Mus musculus: one gene and its partner. The protein of the gene in region 2 interacts with the protein of the main gene of each other region in a pairwise test. Links are inferred from orthologs where the notes say so. Each region holds a gene or a part of one and is shown on either strand. Other genes may lie near its edges.

Evidence for each region. The genes of interacting proteins can lie anywhere in the genome.
Region 1: the proteins of Pnma1 (region 2) and Mab21l2 interact in binary tests that used the Homo sapiens proteins (3 or more experiments, as listed by UniProt). The two-hybrid records come from large-scale screens. The link is inferred for Mus musculus from reciprocal best matches to the Homo sapiens genes PNMA1 and MAB21L2.

Annotation. Positions count from the first base shown.
Region 1 is NC_000069.6:86,543,250-86,551,516, forward strand, and holds Mab21l2 (protein mab-21-like 2), read right to left. Parts: upstream 5,035-8,267; 5' UTR 4,443-5,034; coding exon 3,363-4,442; 3' UTR 2,801-3,362; downstream 1-2,800. UniProt on the Homo sapiens protein: Required for several aspects of embryonic development including normal development of the eye.
Region 2 is NC_000078.6:84,143,734-84,152,000, forward strand, and holds Pnma1 (paraneoplastic antigen Ma1 homolog), read right to left. Parts: upstream 4,757-8,267; 5' UTR 4,195-4,756; coding exon 3,133-4,194; 3' UTR 2,398-3,132; downstream 1-2,397.

The DNA of each region.
Region 1 (8,267 bases), on a different chromosome or scaffold from region 2:
TGTAATTTCCCCTTTCAAAGGTATTTTGATTACTTTTCAGACCATGGCAATTTTACTTTACTTAGAAACATTTCTGTTTTTTAACACAGTCATAAAGCCAAAATAATGTTGATTTTATGAAAGTAAGTACTATAATTTGTTCTGAGAGGAAGCAGTTTATTGAAAAATAACCAAGTAAGTGTCCTGTAGAAAGAGTAGTGGTTTAAAATGGAATAATTAATTTTACTGGCTTGTAGTGTGTGTGTGTGTGTGTGTGTGTGTGTGTGTGTGTGTGTGTGTGTGCGCGCGCGCGCGCACATGCGTGCCCATGCGGGTGCATGCGTGCAGTATGTACATATTCTATTTATTGGTAGCCTCTTCTGTTTTGGAATCATGTGGAATTGTGAAATCTTTCTAATTTGGAAGTATTTCTAAAAAAACTTTTGAGAAAAAATAATGTTATAATTTTGTTGAGCTTTACAAACAATTTCTTATCTCAGCCATGTTTGCTTTAAGTACTTTGTTTCCATACCACTGTCTGTATCAGGAAGAACTTGCTGGAACACATGAAAAGAAAACCACGAGAGAACTGGTTAGTTACAGTTAGATAAATTAGTGACTCTGGTACAGAGAAAACTTGAATTCTGAACTTTTATCACCTCAAAATGTTTTCTACTTTGTCTCATGGCTAAAGTATATGAAAATATATTATAAATTCATTATGAAAGGCTACCAAAATTATTTAAACTCTGATTCCTGACGCTTCAGAACTTCAGAGAGACTGAGACTTCATTCAGAATACTTTACTTTTGGGACATAGTTTAAAGTCTAAAATCTAATCAATGGTGTTTAAAAACTTTTTTCAAAATTAAGATCTTTGTCAGCCTTTGAGAACAGGTTCTTTGAAGCTATTTGTTCTTTTATAGGAAGCTGTAGCTTTTAAGTTTTTTTTGTCTTTCTGTAGCATAATTACATTAGTTTTCTTTCTCTGTTGCTTGTAAAACATAAGATATTTTACCTTAATCATGAAATTTGTCTTGTACTGAAACCTTCCTAGTTCTCCAGACATCAACATATTTGAAATTAACTTCAGCAAATTATTGATAGAATATTTGATTTAATATTGACATTAATGCTAAAAGATATTTTTATTGTAAACACTTTTCTTGACTACATTTTTAACATTAAAACCTTTTTTAAAACTTGCATTAAATAAGGATGTGAGGATATCAAATTGGGTTGTTTTTTCTTGTCAATACTTAGTAACTTTTTCATAAGTAGTTGGAAGAAGCGCTGTTCCGTGCTACACATGCTTTTTCTTGTGCATGAGTCATTTTTTAAGAAAGCATTTTAACCTTTTACACCAAATACTGTGCTTTAAATGATTTGTGTACACCTCTGAGTAGCTATTGCTTTATATTTTCAAACATACTCCTTTGAAAATTTTCTTAAAATTCAGACCTTCTCCTTAAGAGGATAAATTGTTTTATTGTTCAAAATAATTAGTGAGTGCACTGAATTAATGAGTTTGTTTTTATTTTTACAAGAAGACACAACATACACACACACACAGACACACACACACACAGACACACACCCGGTACTAAGTACATTGAAAGGTCAAAGGTATTTTCAAAGTAGGTAGCCCCTAAGCTTATATTTTTGACACAGAATTACTTTTCCCAGGGCAGCCTGAGCTTATGCCTGTTCTGTCAAGTGACCTGGTGCTTCAGAGCCCTGGGAGCTTCCCAGGGCTCAGTAATCTTAGTCCTCCTGTTCTTAGCCCCACGCGCCCCTCCCCCACCCAGACTTCTCCTCTGAATACTGCCTTGTACAACATTTTCTTCTATATCTTTCACTTATAGATTAAAAAATAGATGAATTTAAAAAATAAAATTTAAATATTAGAGGTAGTATTTAACATATTCTGTTCCTTTACTTCACATGGTCAAATCTTGTCCTTTGGCCAGAAAACAAACCAGTTTCTTTAGGATATTTTCAGTTTTCCTAATTATTTTTTATTCCAAACAGTTATTTTATTGCATGTAAAAGAAATCTTATCAGAGTTGAAACATTGAAATGAGTCTATGGGATTGTTACCTGAGAAAGCAGAATATGGAAGGTGCTTTTCCTATTTCTAAATTTTTGGAGTAATTATTTAGGTCATAAAATAGTTTTAAGACCTTTATATATAGGTAGATTCAAAATAATTTTTGAAATTTAATTAAAATGATACTGTTTATTGCATTCATAACTAAATCATTAAAAAACCAAAGTAGTTATAAATCTGAATTGTTCATATTACCAGTTGCTAGAGGAGAGAAATATTGCAGTGACTATTTTATTATTTTTGGTGTCTTTGATTTTCTTGCTAATTTTATTTATTATTACTAGTTGAAACTTAAAAAGAATAGTTGAAGAAAGAGCATGACATGACTTCATTCTTTAAAAGCAATTTTAAAAACATTTAGAACTAGATTTTAAAAAACCTTACAGCATTAAAAAAATCCTGATATAATTTTAAATAGGCTTTTTTATTATTTTAAATTTTAGGATTAACAATATATTGTTTCACACTTTTCTTTTTTAAATATTGCTATTAACATAAAATATGTGTTATATTGAGTAAAATACTTATTTTACTTTTTACTAAGGATTTTGGGGGAGATTTATATAATTAATTCTCCAGAATATGCTGTATTTTAAAGTTTGCAAATCAGAGTTCAAATGGAAGCTTCCTGTATTTAGTTCAAGTTCACATCTTGTAAGTTAGAAAGTGATCTCATCTGCCTTCATTCAAGAACAATCCGCAAGCAGCCAATTACAATGTAAAGTAATATTTTTATTACTGGTTTACTGGTTTCAACAAGACATTTTAGGGCGGGGGTTAGGGGTGCAAAAGGAGGAGGCAGGGGCACATTGACATTGGCACTGAGACACATTTCACATCAGTAAAACTTTGTAAAAGAAATTTCACATATAGTTAAATAATTATTTTCACTTGGTGACAATCACGCAAGCAACCCAAAACAAGGAGGGGCGGGCGTAAAGAAGGAAAAGAAGGGAAGCTACTATACATTGATTTGAAAAATGTACCTTGGGTTTCATTTTGTGTTCGCAAAGCCGGATTGCTTCTTTTGTGCGATCTTTAAATTCACATTGTTTGGAAGGAAACGATCATTTTTGTGCAAGAATGTTATTTTTGGGGTGGGGGGGTTGGTTGGTTTGCCCTCTTTTGTTTGCTTCTTAATTAGGATGTCTTCTGCCTACTCCCGTTCTTTCAGGTGATTTACATAAAAGTTTGTGTTTCGAGTTTTTGCTGTTGTTGTGTGTTCTGGGAGAGCATGCCCATTTATGTTGCTTTCCACGCAGTCGGCAGCACTCTATAGTTTGTCCAAGCTTTTGGGATTGGTGAGGATTTCCCTGGCCAATCTCCAGGTCTGCTTGGCAGCGCTCTCCAGGGCCGAGTGGGGCTTACCCTGGAAGAGGTCGAGGTTGGGCAAAAAGTAGTGAGGGCAGCGGCGGCACTGCAGGCAGGAGATGAGCTGTAGCAGGATGCCGTTCAGACGGTCGCCCAAGCAAGCCTCGTCCCAGTCCGTTTCCCTCGGGTGTTTCTCGCACTCGTACAGCAGCAGCGTCTTCATGTGGTAGTTATTGAGCGGCTGGCCAGGCAGCTCCAGGTGGCGGTCCCGCAGCGTCTTCAGCACCGAGAGGCACTTGTTTCTACAGCCGCCCATCAGCAAGCGGTTCTCCGCCTCACCGAACTGCAGCACCCAGGCGTCGCTTTCTGCGGAGCTCTGCTTGCCAGTCAGCGAGTAGCACTCCTTGGAGAGCAAGTTGAACCCTTCGGCCTTGACCTCCGCCACCCGATTGGGGCCGGGCCAGGGGATGTGGGGCATAGGCCACTGTGCCGCGCTGCGAGGCCAGATCCCGGTGCACTTGAACGCTGGGGTGATTTGCACCACGTAGCGCTCCCTGATGCGCAACTTGACCTCACTAGTGTCGGCGATCATCTTGACCACGTCCCGGTAGCTGCACTTGTCCACCGCCTGGGCTACTAGTGTCTGGAAACGCGAGCGGATCTTGCGCGCAGAAAGGTAGCCAGACGCTGTGATGAACTCGACCCAAAGAGACATGCTCCGCTTCCGCCCATCGCTTAGTTTGAGCACGGCACAGCCGGGCAGAGATCCGTCGTCCACGAAGTTGAAGACTCCCATCTGGTTGAGGTAGAGTACCACCTCGAACTCGGTGGGCGAGATTACCTCCAGCCCCTCGTAGCGGGCGTCAATCTCACTCAGAGAGCTGATGAAGCGGGGCTCTTGCACCTCCACTTCCTTTAGCACATCCGACACTACCTTGCAGACTTCTCGGATGGTCTTGGCGATCGCAGCCTTGCGCGCCTGGCAGCGCTCGGTGTAGTATTTATTGAGCTGGTAAACCAGCTTGGCCTGAGCGGCGATCATGTTGGGGCACAGGTCCGGGCTGTACACCGGCGTCTCGCAATACGTTGAGGGATCCAAGGCTCACGCACTGGTGGTGGCCCTGCGGCTGTGGAAAGGCGGTGCGTTCCCCCTGAAGCCCCAATTTCACTCTTGCTTTCCACCTGGGCTGACCGGCTGATGATATAGCCGGCTGGCCTTTTCTTTTCCCTCTTTGGAATTTTCTTTTCTTTCTTCCGCAGAAAATTAGAAATAATATTATTTAGGGGGGAAAGTACCTGCAAAAATAAAGACGAGCCTCTCCTTGTGCGGGAGAGATGGATGAAATCGTGAGAGAGAAAAAACTAGGTTACCAAGAGGCTAGGCTTAGATGTCCGCAGCAGCCACGATTGCCCAGATATCTGGAAATGAAGTCTTATAAGTGCCAAAGTAAATTTAAAAATAAGACAAAAACATTCAGTGGTTCATTCTGAAACTTCTCCCTCGATGGTTGGACGCCTTCGCTCAGCGTAGGTGATGCCTTCCTTACCCTCCCCCAAAAGGAAAGTGAAGGATGTAATTAATGCCCGGAGAGCAGCGAAGTACAGCTCAGGCCGCAGCGCACTCTGAGGTTTGCAGACGCCCCGCGCGGTCTCAGCGTGCTAGTCTCCTCTCTTCTCAGGGGGTTGTGTCGTAGCAGTTTTCCTGGCTTCCTACTGGAGGCGTTGTTTGGATTGGGTTGGTTTGTTTGTGGTGGGTTCTTCCTGCCTTTCTCTAGGTGCAAACTGCTGCAAGTTGTTTGATATTCTTTTCTGCCTCGTTATTTATACTTTTGGCCCTAGCAAAATCTATTTTAGTGTGACTAAATCGTTGCTTACGTTGTATCTGGTGTGCAGGTCTAAGGAGTCCGGGTTTTTCCTCTCCTCTGGGTTGCGTTTGCAGTCTCTACCTCATCCCCCTGTCCTCTGATACCTGCCCCCCACACTTCTCTCTCTCTCTCTCTCTCTCTCTCTCTCTCTCTCTCTCTCTCTCTCTCTCTCTCTCTCTCTCTCTCTCCTTAGTTTATGAATGGTTCTGGGCCACCGTGAAGGGGTGGAGCTTCAGTTCCTACAATCCCTATGCAAGCTGTCAGTGCTTTAGCCAATCCGAGAGAAAGAGAGAGAGAGGACAAGCTTGGGACCTCAGCAGCCACCACACTGCACTTGATAAAGGGGGCGTGGGGGGTGAGAAAATGGGACTAGACAGAAGCCAAATGCTCTCACTCGTTTCATAGTCCCATTTTCTTTTTTATCCTCTTTTCTTACCGTTGCAGTGAGGAGGAGAGTCTTCATAGAAGGGATTCTTCTCTGGGTATGGCTGGATCAATTCCTGCAAAGTAGTAGTGCTTTCAGTGAGCTTCACTTTTGGTTTTAAGTCTCTGAACATTCTGCAGAAGGTGCAGACTCTAACAAACTGTCTTTGGCTTGAAGGCAAATGAGAGCAGGAAGGGGAGCTTAAGAAAGGACTTAAATTTTGTAGTCCCCCCCCCCTTCTCTTTCCCTCCCATCCCATTGTTGCCAAGAGCTGGAGAATTGCTGTGTATGTGTAAAGGAGGGGATAGGATGACAGTCTATAACCATAAATCTCTTGTTAGTAATTTCCATATGCTGTTAAAAATACAGAACAGGACAAAAACTACTCCAGATATGTTTTTGATCCTTATTTCATAATTTAGATTTAGCTATCTTTGTGTCATTATTTTACTCTTATAGGAATTTACCAATAACTAGAGAGAAAATATGTGAGTTTTGAGAAACTGTAAGTTTATATATTAGCATACATTACTTGGTTATACTTGCTGATTGAAATAAGCTACCAAAATAGTTTAGACTTAAATTAAAATGAAGGAAAAAAATGAGCCTGAATTCAGGTTTTCTTAATTTTTTAAATACTGTGACGTTAATTGTGAACATATTCTTGGGCAGTACTGGTTTAGAATAATTTTATTTTCATAATTGATTCTTGCTTTTAAAGGAGTTGACTGGGATAAAAATCTATAACTTTACTGTTATTGATTACCCAGATGGCCTTCCTCCTCCCCTGCATCCCACTAAAACTCAGTCGCTCTTGTTCCTTAGAATATGTGTTATCCTTAACAAGCTGTGTGATTGCTGCCTCGTAGGACTTTTGGAAAAACAAGGGCTGCAGCAAGGTGATTCACTTGCTACTGGGAGTTTATCTCAGAATTTAAGATGCCAGGGCTCTCAGTTGTTTTAATACACTCAGGTAGTTAAGGGCTATTTTTAGGTTGATTTGGCAGATAATATTTAAGCCGTGGGTTATGCATAGGGAAAATAAAATCTTTAGCCCGTTTTTTTTTTTTTTTAAAAAGCTGTGTATAACTTTTGTAAAACCCCGTAGGAGAGCTTGACTTGCATTTTTTGAAACCTACCAGAACCTGAATTCAGTTGCTACCGAGAGAGCTAATGTTTCTTTCTACTGGGCATGAGATGCTTGGATCCCTACCCCTTCATTCGTTCTTAGTCTTTGGTGGTCCGGAGGGCTGGAGACTTGACCCGCCTCCACCTTGATGCTAAAGCTCCTTTCTAAAGAGTATTTGGGTTTTTCTTTTTTAAACCAAGCGGGATTTATCGCTTGGGGGCCGTTTTAAGTAGCGAGGAGTTGGGAAGAACCTTGCAAAGTAAGCATCAGAGAGCCTCTGGGACAGTAGTTTCATGGGCGTTCCTAAGAGTGAATGCACTACTAGGCGGCTAGCTGCGGCCAGCGGTTTCCCGCTGGTCAGGGAGGCTTTGGTGCTGCAGGACCCAGACCATGCCATGTAGCCGGGTAACTAGTGCGTTCTATAGTCCCTGCCTTGGAGGTGTTACAGGCCAGAGGGGTGTACTCCCGTGGAGTATGGGACCACAGGGAAAAGAAGCTTGGAACAAATCCCACAGGCAGTGCTGGGCGGGCGGGGACTGGTGGCAAGGCCCAGGTGCAGAGTTCCTCCACATCCTCCAGGGGCCAGATCTGCAGCATGCATGTGGCCAGAGACGCCTGTGCGAACCCTTGTAATTCTGGCTGTCTCAGCTCGGCCTGCCACGTCTTCAAGCTACAGGACACGCGCACCCACTGCATTCACCTCTGCCAGCTTGAGCAAGTTTCCTCACACCCTTGTCCACCGTTTCTCCACTTCTCTTCCTAGAGGCAAGGATGATAAAACGTTACAAATGTTTTGATTTAAAAACAATTCATTACCAATTTACCCTGTCTAAGGTAGATGCTCTAGTAAATAATAAATCAGTTAAACAAAGGCGACTTTAATTTATCGCTGTGGTGCTAATTAGAAACATCATTCGAGCAATAAACTTAAACACTTCCAGCAAACACTGCACCCCTCCCCCTTACCTCTCTCCACTGCCTTGGCTGAGAGCAGGCAGCTTCTGCTGTTTGCGGCTCCTATCCCTGGTTGAATAATTGAAGGGGGAAACGGTATCTGAGGAGGCTATAATTGAAGAGCCCCTGTCACCTCTGCTTTTATGTATGTTGGTGTAGAAGTCCATCAGCAGCTCCTTGATGGTGTATTAAAACGAAGTGGCAGCTCCTTCTGCAGGAGATGCGGTGTTCTATTAAGGAGACCAAGAGAGAAAGAAACTCTAGAGGCTAAAAGCCACTTCAAGTCTTCAGACCGATTGATCTGTATTCTCTTGTTATAATCCGTCTCATCATACTTGAGTTAATGAGGCAAAGGAGGGGGAGTGAAATCTGATGGTCCCTGACAAATTCATTAGGGAGACTGCAGGACATTTTATTTGACTGTTAAACATCTTGTTTGTTTGGTTTAGGCAGTGCCAATATCAGCATGCTTCTGCCCAGAACTGTGGTGTTGGG
Region 2 (8,267 bases):
TGACTGACTGACTGACTGACTGACTGACTGACTGAGGCGAGGTCTCAGGTGTAGCCCTAGTTGTCGTAGAACTCACTCTGTAGACAAGGCTGTTCACAAACACAGAGATCTGCCTGCCTCTGCCTCTGCCTCTGCCTCTGCCTCTGCCTCCCAAGTGCTTGGATTAAAGGTGTGCACAGCACACAGCTGAATCAGTCTCTGCTAATTTCTTCCTCACTTAGCACTGGTGAGCATGTCCTTTGCTGACTTTCTAACTCACCCACCATTATGTGTCCACTGGAAAGAGGATTCCCACGGTCAGCAAGCTTGCCTGCCCATGATCATCCCTAGTAAAGGTTAGCCGAGAGACCCCTGAGAAACAGGGTAACCCCACAGGATCAGGAGCACCATACATTTGCCAGTGTACAGTCTGTGCTGTCAGTCAAAATGTACTTTAGTTACAGAATAAAACCGCCATGCAGTTTCTATGATCTCACTGGTCTTTGAATATACCTTTCTAAAAAAAAAATCAGAATTTAAAATTTTTTGAGCTTATAGAAAGAAAACAAATCAAATCAGTTACTTTTAATTCAGTTTTCTTGCTCAAAGGATGTGTGTCAGCATCTCAGGAGACTGAGGCAGGAGGCTAGGCAAGTTCAAGAATAGCCTAGGCTACAGAGGAAACTCAACTCAAAGAGACTGGAAAAGGGGAATGCTCACATGTTTCGTATTCCATATGAATGTATGGGCCTTACATTTAATTAAATAGTAAAATACTTTTCCTCATGGGATGCAATCAATCAGCTATATAAAGAAAGTATTCTAAACATGGTGGCACAAGCCTATATAATACCAGCCCTGGGGAACATGAGGCAGGAGATTATAAGTTCAAAACCAACCTCAGCTACATAGCAAGTTGCAGGACAGCTTCCTTTGTACAATGTGAGACTTCTAAAACAACAAACCAGAACAAGGGGCAGGCCTGCCGTACAGTGGTAAAGTGCTCGACCTGCATGCGTGTGATCTTAGCTTCACTCATTGCTACTGAAGAAAGCAATCTAGCAACCACCGAGGTGAGGTGGCATTGGCAGGACAGGGTGGGCTGGTGAGGTGTCTTGGCATGTAAAGGCTGTCACCGTAAGCTGCCAACCTGAGCTTGATCCCCCCCAGAACTACTTGGTGGAAGGACAGAGCTGATGCCTACAAGTTGTCCCGTGTCCTCCACATGTCTTTGCCCACAATCAAAGCAAGTACTATGTTCCTATGTGAAGCCAAGGATGCCGACAACATAAAAGATGCAGACTCCATCCTTGTTTTTAAGAACATATATCTAAGTGAGAGTGGTTGGTTAGCTCAGGATAGCGGAATTCGAGCTTGTATAAAAGTGTAGGAAGTCAAATCTTACGTTGAGGGACCTACGTGGTAGAAGGAGAAAATGGGTTCCTGCAAGTTGTCCTTTGACCTCCATATTCATACCATAACATATACACCAACATACATACACACAATATTTTAAAAAGAAAAATCTGGACCAACACATAAGAATATTAGCATCCACCAGCTAACAGTCACAATTAACAAATGGCAGAATGGCAGAGTCCTGTCCCCCACCCCCACCCTGCCCCGCCCCATTCTCTGCCCTGCCCCATTCACACTGGTGCATCCATGAAGCAAAACCTCAGAGATTGACAGTGCCTATTACCCCAGCTCTAGTCTCAGACCCTAAAAGAAAATTTCAGGGCATTTCCAGATTGACCCGGGAGCTCAGAGGTGGGCATCTGCAGTCACTGAAACTTATAAAATGGCTATTGGGAGACAAACACTTTGCACACAAAGTGGACTAGATCATTGTTTCTGTGCCGAAACACTGTCAGTCACACAATGACTTTAAAACAGAAAGGTTGCTAGCTAACCTAAGCCCCAATTCAATTTTTTTTATCAGATTTCATAGAAACATCTCTCTTTGGTTGTTATCTCTTGCCTTGAGGAAGTCATGTGGAAATTGAACTCACTGAAAGGTAGATGTAGTAGTGTCTGCCTAGAATCTCAGCCCCCAAGAGGTAGGCAGAAGGATCACAGGTTCAAGAGCAGTAGCCCATGCTACACAGTGAGACAGTATCTACAAGAAATAGCTAGGGGTAGTGGCTCAAACCTGTAATCCCAGGACCGCTGCAAGTTTGAGGTCAGCCTGGGCTACAGAGTGAATTTCAGGCCAGCCTCAGCTACAGAGTGGGACTGTGACAAAACAACCAAGGAACCACCCAACCAAGATGTATAGGTGACACTGCAACTTAAATTCATAGCAAGGAGGGTAATTTTTGTTTTGTTTTGTTTTGTTTTACATGAACAAAAGTCCTTGTTAGGAGAAAAATATACGGAGCTAAATTAACTGAAAAATTTTATACGTGTCAGGAAAAATGAGAATTTTCAAATTTTTATTTGTATACATCTATTCAATAACTTCAAACTTAGAACCCTTAGCGCTGACCAATTATTAAATGACTAGTCTTTGAAGTGGGGGAAGTGTAGACTGGCCACGGCCACTCCCCCTAGGACTTCTGTCTTCCACCGTGAGGAACTGATTGTGCAGCTCGGTAAAGGCCTGGTTTTTTCTAACATGCCACTTTTAGTCCGAGGATCCTTTTCAGGGAAACTGATTCCAGCGTTGAGCCGTGAGGAATTAGAAATCCGCATTTTTCAAGATGAGTAATATCTTCTAATAGAATCACATTCTTTCCATCGATACAAATTGGGAACAATTTACAGTAAAACCATCCACAGTGTTAGTAACAAACACAAGAGTTTGTACTGTACAGTCTGTGAACCTGGTGCGCGGTTAGCATCAGAACCTGCAGCTTCGCAACCACCTTGACAGGAAGTGTCACAGCTTCACGTTTGTGCACAGCTGTCAGAGATGTCGCCAGGAGGGCTGGCATCAAGCATTCACTTTAGGCAGTAAGGACCACCTTTACCGTTGCAGCTCCTGACAATCACACACTTCTGTGAATGTTACAGGAATATGCGGGCCTGACTTCCCCATCCCATCCCTCAGGAAACAAAACCAAGCCAGGAGGAGGCTGGGTGCTTGCTTTGAGTGGCAGGCTTACTAAAACGTCACAGGTATATCAAAAGCAGCCTGGCCAGTCCTAGGACTCAGAAGTGCCCCTCCAGGCCTAGCTGCAAGAGGGCGGCCTCGGCCTCCTCCTCCTCCTTCTTGGCTTCCTCCTCTCGAATCTGCACCAGTAACTGGAAGAGGTTGGGTGCAGGCCCTTCCTCAGCCCCGGCCAGCCACAACTGCCTTCGGAGGGCCCCACTGTGGTTAGCCCCAGCGATGACCTGCTCCAAGCGAGCCTGGTTCACGTTATCTTTATCAATGACCCCCTTGTCTACTACCTTTTGCAGCAGAGGCTCCAGACGGATAACATACGAAGATAACTTTTCTCCTGGGTTCTGGTAAGTGTTCAGAAATCTGACCTGTGCATCTCTAGAGCTCTCCACACTCCCAAAGACCTGCTCAAGAGCCTTCAGGCATTCTGCGGTCGTTATGGCGGCGTTGTTGGTCTTGAGGATGCGGATGACGTCAGCAGCGGGGCCTCTCAAACTCTCCATCAACCGCCGTCTCTTTTCTATATCCGACACCTGCCATTCCTCTATGATTTCATTTGAGTGCTCCAGCCAGGAATCAAAGGTTTCCTCGCCAGGCCCGGGAATGTCCTTCCCGGAGAATAACGTCAGCTTCTTATACCATATGGACTCAACAAGAGGTTGAATAACATTATCCAAAATATAGTTGAGCATCTCTGCTGGCATTTCCGGGCCTGGAGCTGGAGCAGGGTTCTGAAACCCAAGCACACGAGCAACATCTTGCACGGTCCACCCTTCCCTAGCTAGAAAGAGGTGCAGCCTTTCCAAAAAAACTGCGTCGGAAGTGGGGGGTTTAAACACCACTTTCCAGAGCCCTCCTTTGCCTGGCATCTCCCTGGGTATCAGGGAGTAATCCACTGCCCCAGTGAGCTCTAACAAGGCTGCTTTAGCATTTTCTTCCCTCCAGAACATTCTCCCCAGCACTCGATAGGATACCTGGGGCATCGCAGCTTGGAGGGTCTCTTCAATTTCGGTCTCATCACAGTTCACAGGGATCCCCCAGACCAACAGAGCTCTCTGAGAGTTCACATCCATTCCCCTGCACCAGTCTTCCAATAGTGTCATAGCCATTTCACCCAACTATTAAAAGTGCCAGTTCTACAGACACTGCTTGGACTGGCTCACGAGGCTATAGGGCCTAGGACAATACAACATGCTCTCCTCCCCCGGTAGGCCAGGGGGCGACAAGCTTCAGGCAACCACAATTACCAAAAGACACCAGAGTTCCTTCTTGTCCCTTCCGGGTCCCAAGTCAGGGTCGGGAGCCACGGGACACTCCGCCTATCACTCGAATGTCGCCCCCTTTGGTCCGGGCAGGGAGGGCTGAACTGGCTGCAGCTGTGTCTGGCGTCACCGCTTAAAGAGAGGGAGCAAGGTGGGCTCAAGACTGATGACTCCGGGCGGGAGATGGCTGGGTGCGGTCGCGGGGCGTGGCAGCTCCTCCCACCTCTCCCCGGCACGCCGGCGGGCTGAGGGTCACGCGAGGCCGTGGCTTGGCTACGTGGGGAGAGGCGGCACTCCGAGCACCGGGAACCCAAGCGGCAGGAAGCACGGGATGGGGGAGAAACTCGGCTGGAGGCAGCTCTGCCTAGCGCTTATGTCCGCGCGCTCCCGCAACGGCCGGCGTGCAGCTGCAGTGGAGGGCGGAACCGGTCCGCTTGTCTCCCCCAGTGTCACCGTGACAACTGTGTCCATGACGACGCGAGATACGCGGGCTCCAGAGGATCTGGCGGTTGCTATGGTGCCAAGAAGGGGTTTGAGGAGTCTATTCTATGACGGCGCATTTCTTTTTACACCCCCCCCCCCGCCTTCCCTGATTCTTTCTTAGCTATTGCTACGCATGCTTTATTTAATTTTGCCGTGGATTTAAGCTGGCTTTATTGATACGCATCTACCACGACGGACTTATCTCATATTGCTCATCCATTCTATGAATTCAGTCTTTAACTCTGACTTCCGGGAACCACCTGATCCCACTCTGCAACTACTTGGTTCCTCCCCACAAAACTAGGAAAGAGAATTCCATCTACTGGTTCCTGTGAGTGTCTGACTTGGCTTTCTTGTTTAAAGTGTGTGTGTGTGTGTGTGTGTGTGTGTGTGTGTGTGTGTACACAAAACCCCGTGACTACTTACCTTTGTAGCCAGGCAAACTGCAAACATATTGCCTTCTTATCCTTACTGAGTATACAAGATAGCAAAACAGAATGTTTATGGCCCCGAAAAGGCGGGTAAGTTCTCTTCAAGCAAAACAAGGCCTATCAGTCCCAGACGGCAAAAACACCCCTATAAGAATGTGGTATTCAACAATGAATTTTTTTTAAAACCTTATTTAATAAAAGGTCTTAAGATACAGAACATTCAAAAGTAAATAAGTTACATAGGTACATTACAATCACAGCAAGATTCTCTTTAGTGTATTAATTTTTTTTTTATAAAAAGCACACAAAAAATAAAATTTTCAGTCTGGTCTATCACAACTGTACACAAAGAGGTAATATTTATATTTATATATATATATATATGTACACTATTTTAATATGTAACAGTCTTTTTTAAAAAGAGTGCCACAGGCAACAAACACATGAAAGGCAGTGTCTGACCATTTTGTTTCAAAATAAAAGGAATATACTTACTTTATGCTATTAAAATATTTGTACACTAATTACAGACTGTCAAGGCTGTTCTGTGCTCCATCCTCTCCAGCAAGGCCTTTAACGTAAGAGACAAATGAGGAAAAGTTCTAACAGCTGCAATTTTTTTTTTTTTGAGGCAACAAACACAGCCAAATGTGGGTTAGACACAACTGTTTTTATATAAAAATATGCATACTTCCTGTAAAAACCTAAGGGGTTAGGCTTTGCCAGTCTAGTAATAAATAATAACCCAGAACAGTGAGCCCCAATAAAAACATTTCAACAGCTGAGGCTTGAGTACTATTGCACTCTTCCTCCTCTGTCTTTAACATCTGGCACATGAGAAGAAAGAGGTTGGGTGACTGAGGCAGTTAAATATAGGCAATCCCTTTAGACATCATGAGCACAGGGCCTCTGTGCCGGGGTGGGAGGTGGGGCGGCAAGGACGGTGGGTGGGTGGGTACTTTAGCTCTAAGGGGGCTGCTGAAGGCTTGGAGGACAGCAGTGAGGGCAAGAGACCTCAGAGATGGCCCAGAACACAGGCACGGTCAGTGTCATGGCCTTCTCTGAATGCAGGTGGAAGCTGGGGGACAGGCAGGGTGACACTGTATAGGGACGTTATTGTCAAACAGGGAGCTCTGAATAGAAAGAACAACAAAAGCCAAGCCCAGTGTGTTCGTACGAGAAAGCACCAGTAAGGACGCGCCTGCGCCAGCCTCCGGCCGCACGTGCATCTCCGCTTTGAACTAGTTCAGTTTCCACACGGGCGCGCTGGAGCATGGGCCCCTCTAAAACAGTGTCTGGTGGGATCACTACCTAAAGGTACCATCTTTATCCCCCCACCCCCACCCCGGCTATAGTCATCTGGTCTCTGTGAACTTAGAAAAGTTCTTGCTTTTTTGCTGTTTTTAATTAAGATTTCTAAGGATTAGTTGGTACCACTGAGCAGAGGAGTCTCATGTGGCTGAAGGATCTCATGTGGCTGCTATCACCTGTCCACCAAGGGGCCTGAGCCAGATATGGTTTAAATAGAAAAGAACCTTGGGAAACCTAAGTGGCACTTTGGGGCTGAGCTGTGAAGGCACGCGTTATAGAAGTGATTTAGAAGAGATCCTAAACTTGTTGCCCTCCTGCTTCTAGAGGGTACCACATTTTTGTAATCCCGGGACTTCGAGCTGATAGAAGCCTATGAAGGAAACAAACCGGGGAAACTGAAGGTTAAGGTAACTGTCTAGGTATCTAGGGGGACAGGTTTGTTATTTCCACCCGCAGCTCTCTCATAGAACCATACTAATGTGTAAATGAATGTAAGAAATACCCAATAGTCTACAGCTTCAAAACAAAACCCCATCTCTATTTCCAATTCCCAACGGGCTGTAGGCTATTTCCGCTCCTTACTAACATTCTAAACAGTCAGACACACGGTCACTTAAGACTCTCTTTTGTACAACTAAAATTAAGTGATGATATCAGAAAAGTGGCTTTAGGCCCCTACTGAACTGGAAAGCGAAGGGGACTCTAGAACATTCCAACCCTTCAGTAATTCCAAGCCAAATATGGTTTCTTCAAGCCAGAATCGAGGCTGATAACCAAAACTAGAATTCTGGCCTCTTGCCAACTCCCTCGAGCATTTGAAAGTACAGAAAAGGCAGGACAGAGACCTGCCTTTGACCTCACCCACATCTGCTGGCTTCCTGTGACTGATAACACTCCCCGCCTTCCCAGCCCGATCAGTTTCTGTCATTCCTGCGGCCAAGAGCCACAAGGTAAGGGACCCCAGGGCCATGGAACTGGGGGAGGGCTTGGGGATGCCAAAAAGGTGCCTTATTTTGGGATAAATGCACTTGGACCTCTGGAAAGCAAGAGGCCCCTGGTCCCTGAGGATGTTAAAACTTAAATATTAAAAAAAATAAATAAATAGTTCCCAAATGACAACAAGCCACAGAATGAAGGCTCCTGTCTAATCTAGTTAGGAGACATCACCCTCCCAGGGAAGAATCCAGCAAACTCCAGCATGCCGTATTGGGGGGAGGGAGGACTGTGAATATCAACATTGAGTGGGGTGCGGTGGGATCAGCTGGCAGCTACTGAGAACTCGACAGGCAAGAAGGAAGCTGGCACCAAAGAGCAGGCCAGGCCTCTCTAGGACCTGCTTGAGGCTCCTTTAGCAGCCTCCGGGACTCAAAGGTATAAAATGCTAGTCATGAGTTTGTCAAAAGATCTCTCGGGCAGAGCTCTGCATCTTCTGGCCTCTGAACAGTTCCTCTCCGTGTAGTAGGCTGAGAGCAGGGCACGAACTCCAAACTTCTGAGAAAACTTTGACAGCCCCAGACGGGCTGTTAACAAGCAGCAAAGGGGTTGAAAATAGCCCTCCGAGATACGCCTAAGGAAGTGGGGACCTCCAGACGGGATTGTTGGAGCAACTCCGGCCTGAGCATGACAGCACAAGGACAACACAGGTGTTAAGGCCACCGCTCTCTAAGGAGTCCCTCTGGGGGCTTAGATAAAAGT